Linked DNA regions of Arabidopsis thaliana. The protein of the gene in region 2 interacts with the protein of the main gene of each other region in a pairwise test. Each region holds a gene or a part of one and is shown on either strand. Other genes may lie near its edges.

The links.
Region 1: the proteins of AT4G30780 (region 2) and AT3G55240 interact in a two-hybrid assay, tested with the Arabidopsis thaliana proteins (one large-scale study listed by BioGRID).

What each region holds. Positions count from the first base shown.
Region 1 is NC_003074.8:20,472,598-20,477,004, forward strand, and holds AT3G55240 (Plant protein 1589 of unknown function), read right to left. Parts: upstream 2,736-4,407; 5' UTR 2,109-2,735; coding exon 2,073-2,108; intron 1,950-2,072; coding exon 1,844-1,949; intron 1,425-1,843; coding exon 1,279-1,424; 3' UTR 738-1,278; downstream 1-737. Other genes in the region: AT3G55230 (Disease resistance-responsive (dirigent-like protein) family protein), read left to right, coding at 1-147.
Region 2 is NC_003075.7:14,988,299-14,993,793, reverse strand, and holds AT4G30780 (ATP-dependent DNA helicase), read right to left. Parts: upstream 3,509-5,495; 5' UTR 3,272-3,508; coding exon 3,131-3,271; intron 2,958-3,130; coding exon 2,643-2,957; intron 2,559-2,642; coding exon 2,385-2,558; intron 2,302-2,384; coding exon 2,195-2,301; intron 2,109-2,194; coding exon 1,807-2,108; intron 1,670-1,806; coding exon 939-1,669; 3' UTR 709-938; downstream 1-708. Other genes in the region: AT4G30790 (autophagy-like protein), read left to right, coding at 1-411.

The DNA.
Region 1 (4,407 bases), on a different chromosome or scaffold from region 2:
GCTGTTGTGGGTGGAACTGGGAGATTCGAGCATGCTAAAGGGTATGCTGTCGTGGAGACTCTACACAACCAGGAAGACCAACATGTTACTGATGGTCATGATACCATTCTCCATTTCAGTGTTTATCTTACATACTACAAAGCTTGAAGAGTTATGGCATTTGTTGAAAGAAAATTCCTCTGTTTCGTTTGTATGTTCTTCTTTATAAGTTTAATGTGTGGTCTATATTGTGTTGTGCACGTTTACTGTACTGAAAAAAAGAAAGTTAAATGACAATCTTTGTCTTTAATTCTTTATATTCAAAACTCTCTGTTTTTTGGCAAATACATACCTTTTGCATTTCAACCGGTCTATTTATTCGTTTGTATATACTATATACTCTCGAAATTCCATTTTTATATCAAGTTAACGTAAGAATAAATCCTTTTTATAATTTTTTGTTTACTTACCAACAAAAAGAAAGAATTATTACATAGGAGCCATGTAGTCTAGATTTACGTGGGCTGGAAATTGAAACGTGTTACTACTCTTGTGAGTAGTCACTCACTTAACAACGCATGTTAAGTGAGAGTTTTCTTATGAACTTTGACCCAAAAAGACATTTCTGCACAAGGTATAACAAATTAACAACGTTCAAGTTATGGGCTGATCATAGGATCGGACACATTTTGACCACTTAATCGCAAATTAATTGGATATTGTTCAAGAACTTTTTCTCCATGTTATTGTTTTTGTTTAATTAATGTAAATTTTCAATTTGAAGAAATTTCTATTAAAAACAAAAATGGCTGCATAGACGTTCCCCAAAAAAAAAACAGCCGATCATGGACCAAAAAACAGCTGATCAACGTTTTTACTGATCTGGCTAAAATCTGGACTTTTGGGTTCCGAAACTTGCAAGCATATGGAAACCATGATACAAAATTTCCAAGAGTGCTAAAGCCTTTTAAGGTGACCAAAACCCGAAATAAATAGTTTATTTGAAAATATATACACACGATACATTCAATTAAAACACCACACCATCGATCCATGTATGAGCTAGCGTCCGTTTCATTATATATAATTAAACAGAGGCAATATTATGTGGACCACGTACGTATAACGTACCAAAAAGAGTGTCATCACTCCTTTTTTTGCTGTCTTGCTTGTTGGACCGATGCTAAGATGAAAAAACGATTTACTTATAAACATGCATGCGTCAGGGATAAATCGTTTTCATGAGATTCATATATATAAACTATAAGGTTTTCGAAATCTAACGATCGAACATCGCGATCAGTCGTCGGATTCTTTAGATGAATCCGAGATAATCTTCTGGATCATCTGGTTTGTCTCTTCCTCCGACATTTGCTCTTGTTTGCTTTGCCTCTCCTCATACGCCTTGAAGAATTCCTTGTTCTCTTTCTCCAGCTCCTTCCACACTGTCATTTATTTTGTTCCAATTCATTAATATTATGATAACAAAATATATAGGCCGGATATATATGTTGCAAGGATTTTTATATTTTCTTTGGCTTTTTTTGTATATGTATAAGTTCTAGTCGCCAGGTAGTCAAGTCAGTGTATATAATCATTAATTTGATTATGCATGAGCACTTATATGAATAGAAATATTGAAGATCGATCCATCACGCTAGATCCTATCTGTAGCTAATTAAGTACATATTACATGATCAAATTCTAAATGATGGTATCATAATATGATGATAGCTCCATAATTTATACATATAATTAATCCCGTTAGAGAGTACATAGGTACAGATATGTTTGTGTGTTTATAAGGATTACGGAAAGGTAAAAAGTATTAAAAAAGAGGAGAGAGAGAGAGAGGAATTAAAACCAGTAGAGGTGATGACAGGAGTGATGTTTGCATGCTTAGAGAGAGCTTCCACACACTCTTCTTTGCTCATATGGAAGATCAAACATTTCTCTATCATGTGCTGCACCTATACATACATACACACATCCAAAGATATTGAGGTACATACGTAAAAGATAAATAGATAAGATCATTCATAGAATCGACGGCCGGAGAAGTACATGAGGTTCTTGAATCAATATAATATTACCATGTGAATGTAAGAAGCAGAAGAAGAATCTGCCATTGTTAATGGAAACCCTAGAATTAACACCCAAACTTAAAAGAGAGTCTTCTTTCTAAAAGCCACTTGTGGAGATAAAGACAGCCATATATAGAAGAAGATCACGCAAAAAGATGAAGAAGGAGACAAAAGAGTGAATAGTTGAAAGATGATATGCATGCATGGGGCCAGAAGCCCCACGTGGGAGATTGATCATAATTGGCTGAGAAAGGATTAGAGGAGATTTGTAAAATCACTCTTTCTCTCTTCTCCCTTCGTTTTTTCATTTCCATCTCACGCATCCTCCACGTGATCCATGGCCCCTCTCTCTCTATACATTTTCTGCAAAAAAACACTTAGTCGTGTTTTAATTTCCATAATCTTCTAGAAATTAAATCTATACCTATTTGTTAATGTTTTAACTTATATAAGAAAATGAAAGTTAGTTGTATTGGCTCTAAGAGCACATGATTACATAAAAGGAGAGTAAACGATAAATTCGGAATTTTAAAGGATTGATACTTTAAAAAATGGCAAATAAAATAATGACTTCAACAATTGTAACTCACCGAATTCCTTTTGAAACAATATAAAACCATAGTGCGAAATATACAAGGCATATAATCATAAGTCTTAACACTTATGTTAAGGCTTACCATTAATAAAGAAAAGATAACTGTTGTAACAAACATATCAAATGTATATCTACGATGACTACCGTTGTGTGACCATCGATTTGACAATTGAAATATCATAAGAAGACGTATTAGAGGCCTAGGTCGCCCCTGAACATCGGTACGTCTACTCTTAAGGTGAGGCAAGAGAGGCATGAACTTGTTTTCCTTTTTCTTTTTCTTTTTGTTAAAGGAATGTTGAACTTGTTTAAATAGGGAATACCATGCATATAAAATATATAACTGGTAAGTTGATTGATAAGAACATTTGAAATCACTTGAGCACTTTAAGAAAAGGAGAAGTGAAGAAATATGCGGATGAGATCCAAACGTGGTTTGCATCGAGCAACATTAAGGATAGAAAATCTTTGTAATTTGTTTTTTAAAAAGTTTGCATTTTGCATTCACATGTATAAATGTTTCTTTTTTCTTTGAATATAATCTAGATTCAAAAAAGTTATAATATATATATATATATATATATATATATATATATATTGTAACTACATATTATGAGTATGAGATAATCCATATACATTAGTAAACCTCTGTCGTAAAAAGAACCAACGTAATTTACACGACATGTTATAGATAAATGTTTGCTACTGAATTTTTCAGTTCTGTCATATATGTATGAGCCTCCTCCTAATTAAGTCCTAACTCTTAACCATGCATACCAACATGTTTATTAATATTAAGACCGGTAAAAGAAACCCAGAAATTATCATGTACTTGTTAATGTAGCATAAAAGACAAAATCCCACTCCATCTCATAAATGATAATATTGATATGGATTAGTGGAACCTATTACATCTAATAAACATTACATCTGACGTAAGTTACACAGTTGATTTTGTTTTTTTATAATTAGTTTTTTGAAGTTACGCTATTGAAATTTCTGTCTAATGATTAACTTAGTTCTTTTTCTTCTGAAATTTTTGTTATTTATGAATGACACAAACCCCCGAAAAAGTTGATTACACCAACCAAATGTCGTCGATCTCTTCCAGATAATATTCATAATTTAATCATCTACGTAATTGACTCCTCAAAGTATTAATTTGGGTATAGTCGTACCACCATGACAAGTGTAGTATACGTTACAATAATGGACGGCCAAAAAAAAGGCAAAGTGATCATCAATAGTTTTTTGGTTGGGTAAGGGGACGCGGGAGATTAAAGTTTTTGATTCTAAACCAATAGGACGATGACATGTCACGTATAACAATCCACATTGAGATCAAATAATCGCAAATGGTACAACCATCTGAGTGACGTGGCGCAAATGGACATGAGAGAGAGTGAGAGAATCTACAAAGGTTACGTAAAGAAGTGAGAGACAAACACATTGTGGGTGTTTTGTCGAAATCAAAGGTTTCAGAAGGATCCATCAAATTCAGACATTAAATAAAACTACACATATTCCTCATCATGTGGACCTCTCAATTTGAGTCCTGAAACAGCAACTATTCCCTCGAATCAAATTCAAACCCTATTCATGATCACTTTCTCTCTCATTCCCTCTCCTCGTCAACAAGATTACAAACCAAGACGCCTATTCTCTCTCATCCACTTATTTCTTTTACCTAAGATACTTCCTTATCCAGCTCTTAAGATCATGCTATCAAAGTTCATTCGAATCCGTATG
Region 2 (5,495 bases):
TTCGGTCGTCTTGAAGTCCATGAGATAGCAGCATTTGTGCTAAACCAAGCAGGGCATTACGAGGCAATCAACAGGAACTGCCCAAATTACTACTTGTCCTCTGAATCTGAGGCATTGTTCACAGATCATCTCCCAAGCCGGCCTACATACATTGTTGGACAGATTGTCCACATAGAGCGCCAAATAGTGAAACTGCCATCACAACTTTCAGCTTCTGCTTCTCCTGAGGCGGGTAAGACACATCATCTCTGCTCAGACCAGGGCTCGAGAACTCTGGCATCAAGTTCAATCTCAACATCAACTTCAGCAACAACAACATCAAACCCTTATGGTCTCTCTTCAGGATGTGAATACTTCATAGTGACAATAGCAATGCTTCCTGACACTGCTATTCATCAACAAGCTTCCTGATCCTTTTGCTTGTTCCTAAGGCAGCAGATAGACGTGATGGAAGAAACCCCCTCCCCCCAAAAAAGAACAAAAAATGTAAATACTTTGAATTCAAATAACACAATCTAAAACCAGACAGCCCCTTTATATGATTTGTGGGTTTCATTTGTCTCTTCTTTAACTTTCTTTTATTTTCATATCTTTCTTCTTTATGTACAGCTGATGATCACTGATCTTAGTTTAATCTTTTCTCCTTGTATTGTACATACTCTGCTATAATTTGAATGCTGTAATAAAAAGATTACTAAATATTACGAGAAAATAAAAAAGTTTTAGGATAAATAATGGAATCTTTTGCCTCTGCCAACTTTGGTTTATATTGGGAATAATATACAGAAATTAATCATCAAAACATGTTTCTTCAAATCCCTGTGGGGGTTGTAGTTACCAAGTGATAATTTTGATTTACAAGAAAAAAAAAACAGAAAAGCTACTAGTCCAGGTTCCTATACTTGCCAAATCCAGAAAAGAAAGGCGGTATCTATAAATTATCTATTATATGCATCACCATCTTCTTCTGAAATGTTGGACAAGAACTTTGGCAAGGATGTGATCCGGGGGAGGTGTAATAGCAAATCGCTGAATGAGTCTTTCCTTAACATACCCTGTGGTTTGCTGCTAGAAGCTGTATCAAGAACTCTGTTGTTGTTGTTGTTGTTGTTGTTGTTGTCAGAAACAATTCCCTTGGGTTCAGACTTCAATCCAACCGACATTTCGGTATTGAGCTGTGAGTTTGCAGCGACGTTGGGATCCTTGTACAAGAGGTTGAATAAAGAGTTAACCCTTGGCATGAGAGACTTCTCATCTGGTGCCTCGAACTGGATATTATCACTTAGCAACTGCTGTTTCATGATCTCAAATTTCTCCATATGTTCCGGATGACTTCCACCAGCAGAATCAGAGAGAAGTCCAACGAAATCGCTCACTGACATAGATTGGTGTAGTCCAGGTACTTTTATCTGATCTGAATCAGTTATGTTTCTTGAATCAGATAAATATGCAACGAAATCACTAACTGACATAGATTGGTGTAGTCCATCTACGTCGTCAGCCAGATTCAAATCCGTTGTGTTTTTTGTATCACAGAGAACCGCAAGGAAATCACTCAGTGACATAGATTGGTGTATTCCAGGTGCTTCGATCTGACCACAATCTGTTCTGTTTCTTGAATTGACTGCTTCAGAACCCCCAATTCCTTCATTTGCACGAGCATCTATCACTAGAGATGAACGAAGCAAACAAACAGAAATATAAATCCACAATCCTAATCAGGTTCAACAAAAGTGAAAATGAAAAATTATATTCTAATAACGAGTTATGAAAGCAACTAGAATGAGCGAGCAGTCATCATAATACCTGAGCTGGGTGATGGTGCTTCATGAGACAGATACATATGCTCAGATGATGACTGAGCCCCAACAGGAGATGCTAAATTCTGAGTCCCAGAGATCGAAGGACCTGTACTAAGATTCAAATTCCCAAAAGGATGGCCTTTTGATTCACTTGGATCCTCAAAAATAGATTGCCGTGCATCAAAGTAGGGAGAGTCAATAGCTATCTCCGGCTGTCGGCTTAGATGGAACAGACGATGATCACATTGAACGAGCTTTTCAAAATGTTTGTTCATTATCCCTTGAGCACATTGCAGAAAATGCTGCCTAACAGATCACAGGGAGACTATCGTTAGCTGAAGCTAGGACATCACCAAATTTATTCAGAAAAAATTTACATGAAATGCCTGTACCTGTTCATGCTGGCTTGGCCATCAGTGAAATCTGATGTCGCCTGCCACAAGGTATGCTTTCTAGGCTGTGGGTTTGTTTCCCGGAAAAATAAGGGCTGTCTAGCAAGCTGAAACATAAAGAGTCAAATCATTAAAGTTGAACAAGAGTGATATGTTGAGCAAAAGAAAAGAACATGAGTGAATGTTATACCACGAGAGTCAAAGTTCCAGGTCCGTCTTCAGGACAGTTTGCCTTCAAAGCCATAATATCTGACCACTGGATCTCGATTTTACTCTTAAGACCTTGTTCCAACACTTCCCAAACAAGTTTGTGTTTAGCAAAGTAACACTTTGCCACCAAATCACCTTCATACCTCGATTTATACTGCACAAAAAAAGAAACCAAGTCAAGTCAGATTTTGAAACCACCATGAAAACATATCAAAACGAAACATTTCGCAGGACTCACCTCCCACTGCCCGATCTTCAAAAGCGAAGCAGGAAAGTTAGAAGCTTTCAGCTTCTCAATACTTCCTGGCGCCAAAGTCGGTCCAACTGATGCAGCAGCAGCAATAGTTTTACTTTCTCTCTTAAGACCAGAGCCAAGTGCACCAGCTTTCAACGTTTCAGCTGCTTTAGGATCACCACAATGCGTTATCTTCATCTGAATCAACTCCAACAAAGATGGACTCTTCTTAAGACTCAATCCAAGAGGACTCGGCTCATCAAGCGGGTTATACTTAGCTGGTGCCATTGTCGATGAGCTTGTCCCAGGACTCCATAACTAAATTCAATGCAACAATCAATAATTAAAAAAAATACATCACCAAACAATTCACAACCAGCTAAATATAAAACCATCACTGCATGCTAAGAATTGCTATTGAATTATCGCAGAAACTGAATTAGATCAGCTCATCTGAGAAGAAAAAAACAAAAGGAGAGAAATAAACAAACCCTAGATCGTTTGTTGAGAGGACCATGCTCTTCTTCTAAATCATCTTCAGCAATCTCCAATTTCACCGGTAGCTCATCTCGGCACCTGGCCGCCGATTCAGACTCCGGTCTTAAACCTCCAGATTTCCTCATTTCCACCATCCCCCGAAAAAACAAACCTTTCCTTCTCAAAAACTCAAATTCAGACAAAATTCGGATAACCCACAAACGAAATCACGAAATTATTCCACAAAAGGATTTATTTATCTGGAACGCGAAAGAGAATCAAAAGCAAACCCTAGAAATCAGAGTATAAAACATTTACGGGATCTCTCTCTTTGATTGTGTAAAAAAAGGATTCTCCTGGCGGCTATCGACGCGCGTATACCGCGATTTCACCGACACGCGCTATCGTTATTTTGACTCCGAATGCTGCTGAAATTCCCAAATTAGCCACCATGTTATGCCTATGGAAAGAGGGCTAAACTTGTCATTTCTTATGTTTATTAAATATTTTAGTTAATTCGCTGGCGAACAACCAGTAGTTCTTGATTTATAGGGTGTAGGGTCCCACAATTTTTTTTATGACGGCTACAGATAGAGTATTTGCCACGTGTTACTCGTCTTCCTTTTGCCTTTAATTAACTAGGGAGGAGACACGCGCGTTGGTGGTTTGTTTTTGGTTTTGTTAGTATGTAATTATAACTTCGATTTTTTTTACTGATCTTTGATTAAAAGGTGAATATCTTTGTTATTTGCTAATCTTATTTTTTGATTTCTACATTTTTGTAATCTATGTATAGTTTTACATTTTTTTTTCATATTGTTACCAGTTATATGCTAGAATTTATAGGACAATAGACCAAACTTACTATCTTGTAAGAATATTTTTTAGAGTTATATATATCTAAGCAATGCATTTGTTACATTGGTCTTGTTTTTATATATTTTATTTTAAATTAAAAATACAATGGAAATCTCTCTCTCTCTCTCGTATTAAGCGGTTGCTGCAGAGGATAGCGAAGAACAGAGACTAACGACGAAGTTATTTTACACATCGTTGCCATTGTTAATTTTGGCCCAATATGAACCCGCCCATTTGTTTTTTCTCTTTGTGTCTCTGTTAAAATCTTAGAAACTACTCTTTGGTTTTGGGAAGATTTCACTTTTCAACGTCTCTTCGCGAATTAGCCAAAAAGAGTTGGATTATAACAATATTAACATTGAAAGTACGATATGCTTAGATAATTAATTAAAAGTTTGATTTTATTGTAAATATAAATTTCCTTACAACAGCAAGGAAAGACACACATTAAAGCAAAAGAAATAAGAGTAATAACTTTGTTTTGAGTCTTTGTGATAGTTCACTGCTCAAACATTATAGGGAATTTTTTAAAAACAGTTTCCAACTCTCTAAATGTTTTGTTTAAGTTATACCATAAAAATAAACTTAAACATTTGTTTGTAGAAAAAACATTTCTCACATGTGTTGTCCAAATCTCTTGGATGGCACACGTCGGGGGGTTTCATGTTGCGAAGTGATATCATGTACAATCTTTTTCTCGCCACTCTAATCCCATTTAGTGAAGTTTTGATTTGTTTCCAACACGTTTCAGCCATGGTGGTGTCTTTAGCCCATTCAAGTTGGCTCATATAGGTTTTTCCCTCTTCAGTCCTTCCTCTACATAATAATAGCATGACATACATGTAGATTGCTGGCCTCCGTTAGCTGCTATGCCAATATGGTGGAGACCAACGTCACAATGATCAAGGTTAAAGTACCATATTATACCTTTTATGTAGTGAGCTTAGTTTTTCTATAAATAGAGAGGCATGGAAAAAAGGAGGAAGAAATCCATATTAAAACGTCTTCAAGCTCCTCAGCTCGTTCTCTAGCTCCTCAGCTCGTCCTCAAGGTACTCAGATCGCCATCAAGCTCCTCAGCTCGTCCTCAATCTCCTTAGCTCGTTCTCAAGCTCCTCTGCTCGTCCTCAAGCTACTCAGCTCGTCCTCAAGTTCCTCAGCTCGTCTTCAAGCTCCACAGCTCGTCATCAAGCTCCTCAGCTGGTCCTCAAGCTCCTCAGCTCGTCTTTAAGCTCTACAGCTCGTCTTTAAGTTCTTCAGATCGTCTTCAAGCTCCACATGACTCAACGACCATCTCCTCGCCTAGCTGTCAGCTAGTCAGTTCGTCCAATTCCTCACCTAGTCAGCAGCTCGTCCCTCAAGTTAACTCATCTATCTCCTCGCCTAGCTGTCAGTTCGTCCATTGACTACACAGTCCGCCTATCTCGTCTCCCAGCTCGTCTAGATTTTCACCAGACAACTCGATTTGTCCGACTCGTCTCTCTACTACATTTCGTCGAGCTTGGCCCCTGGCTACCAGCTC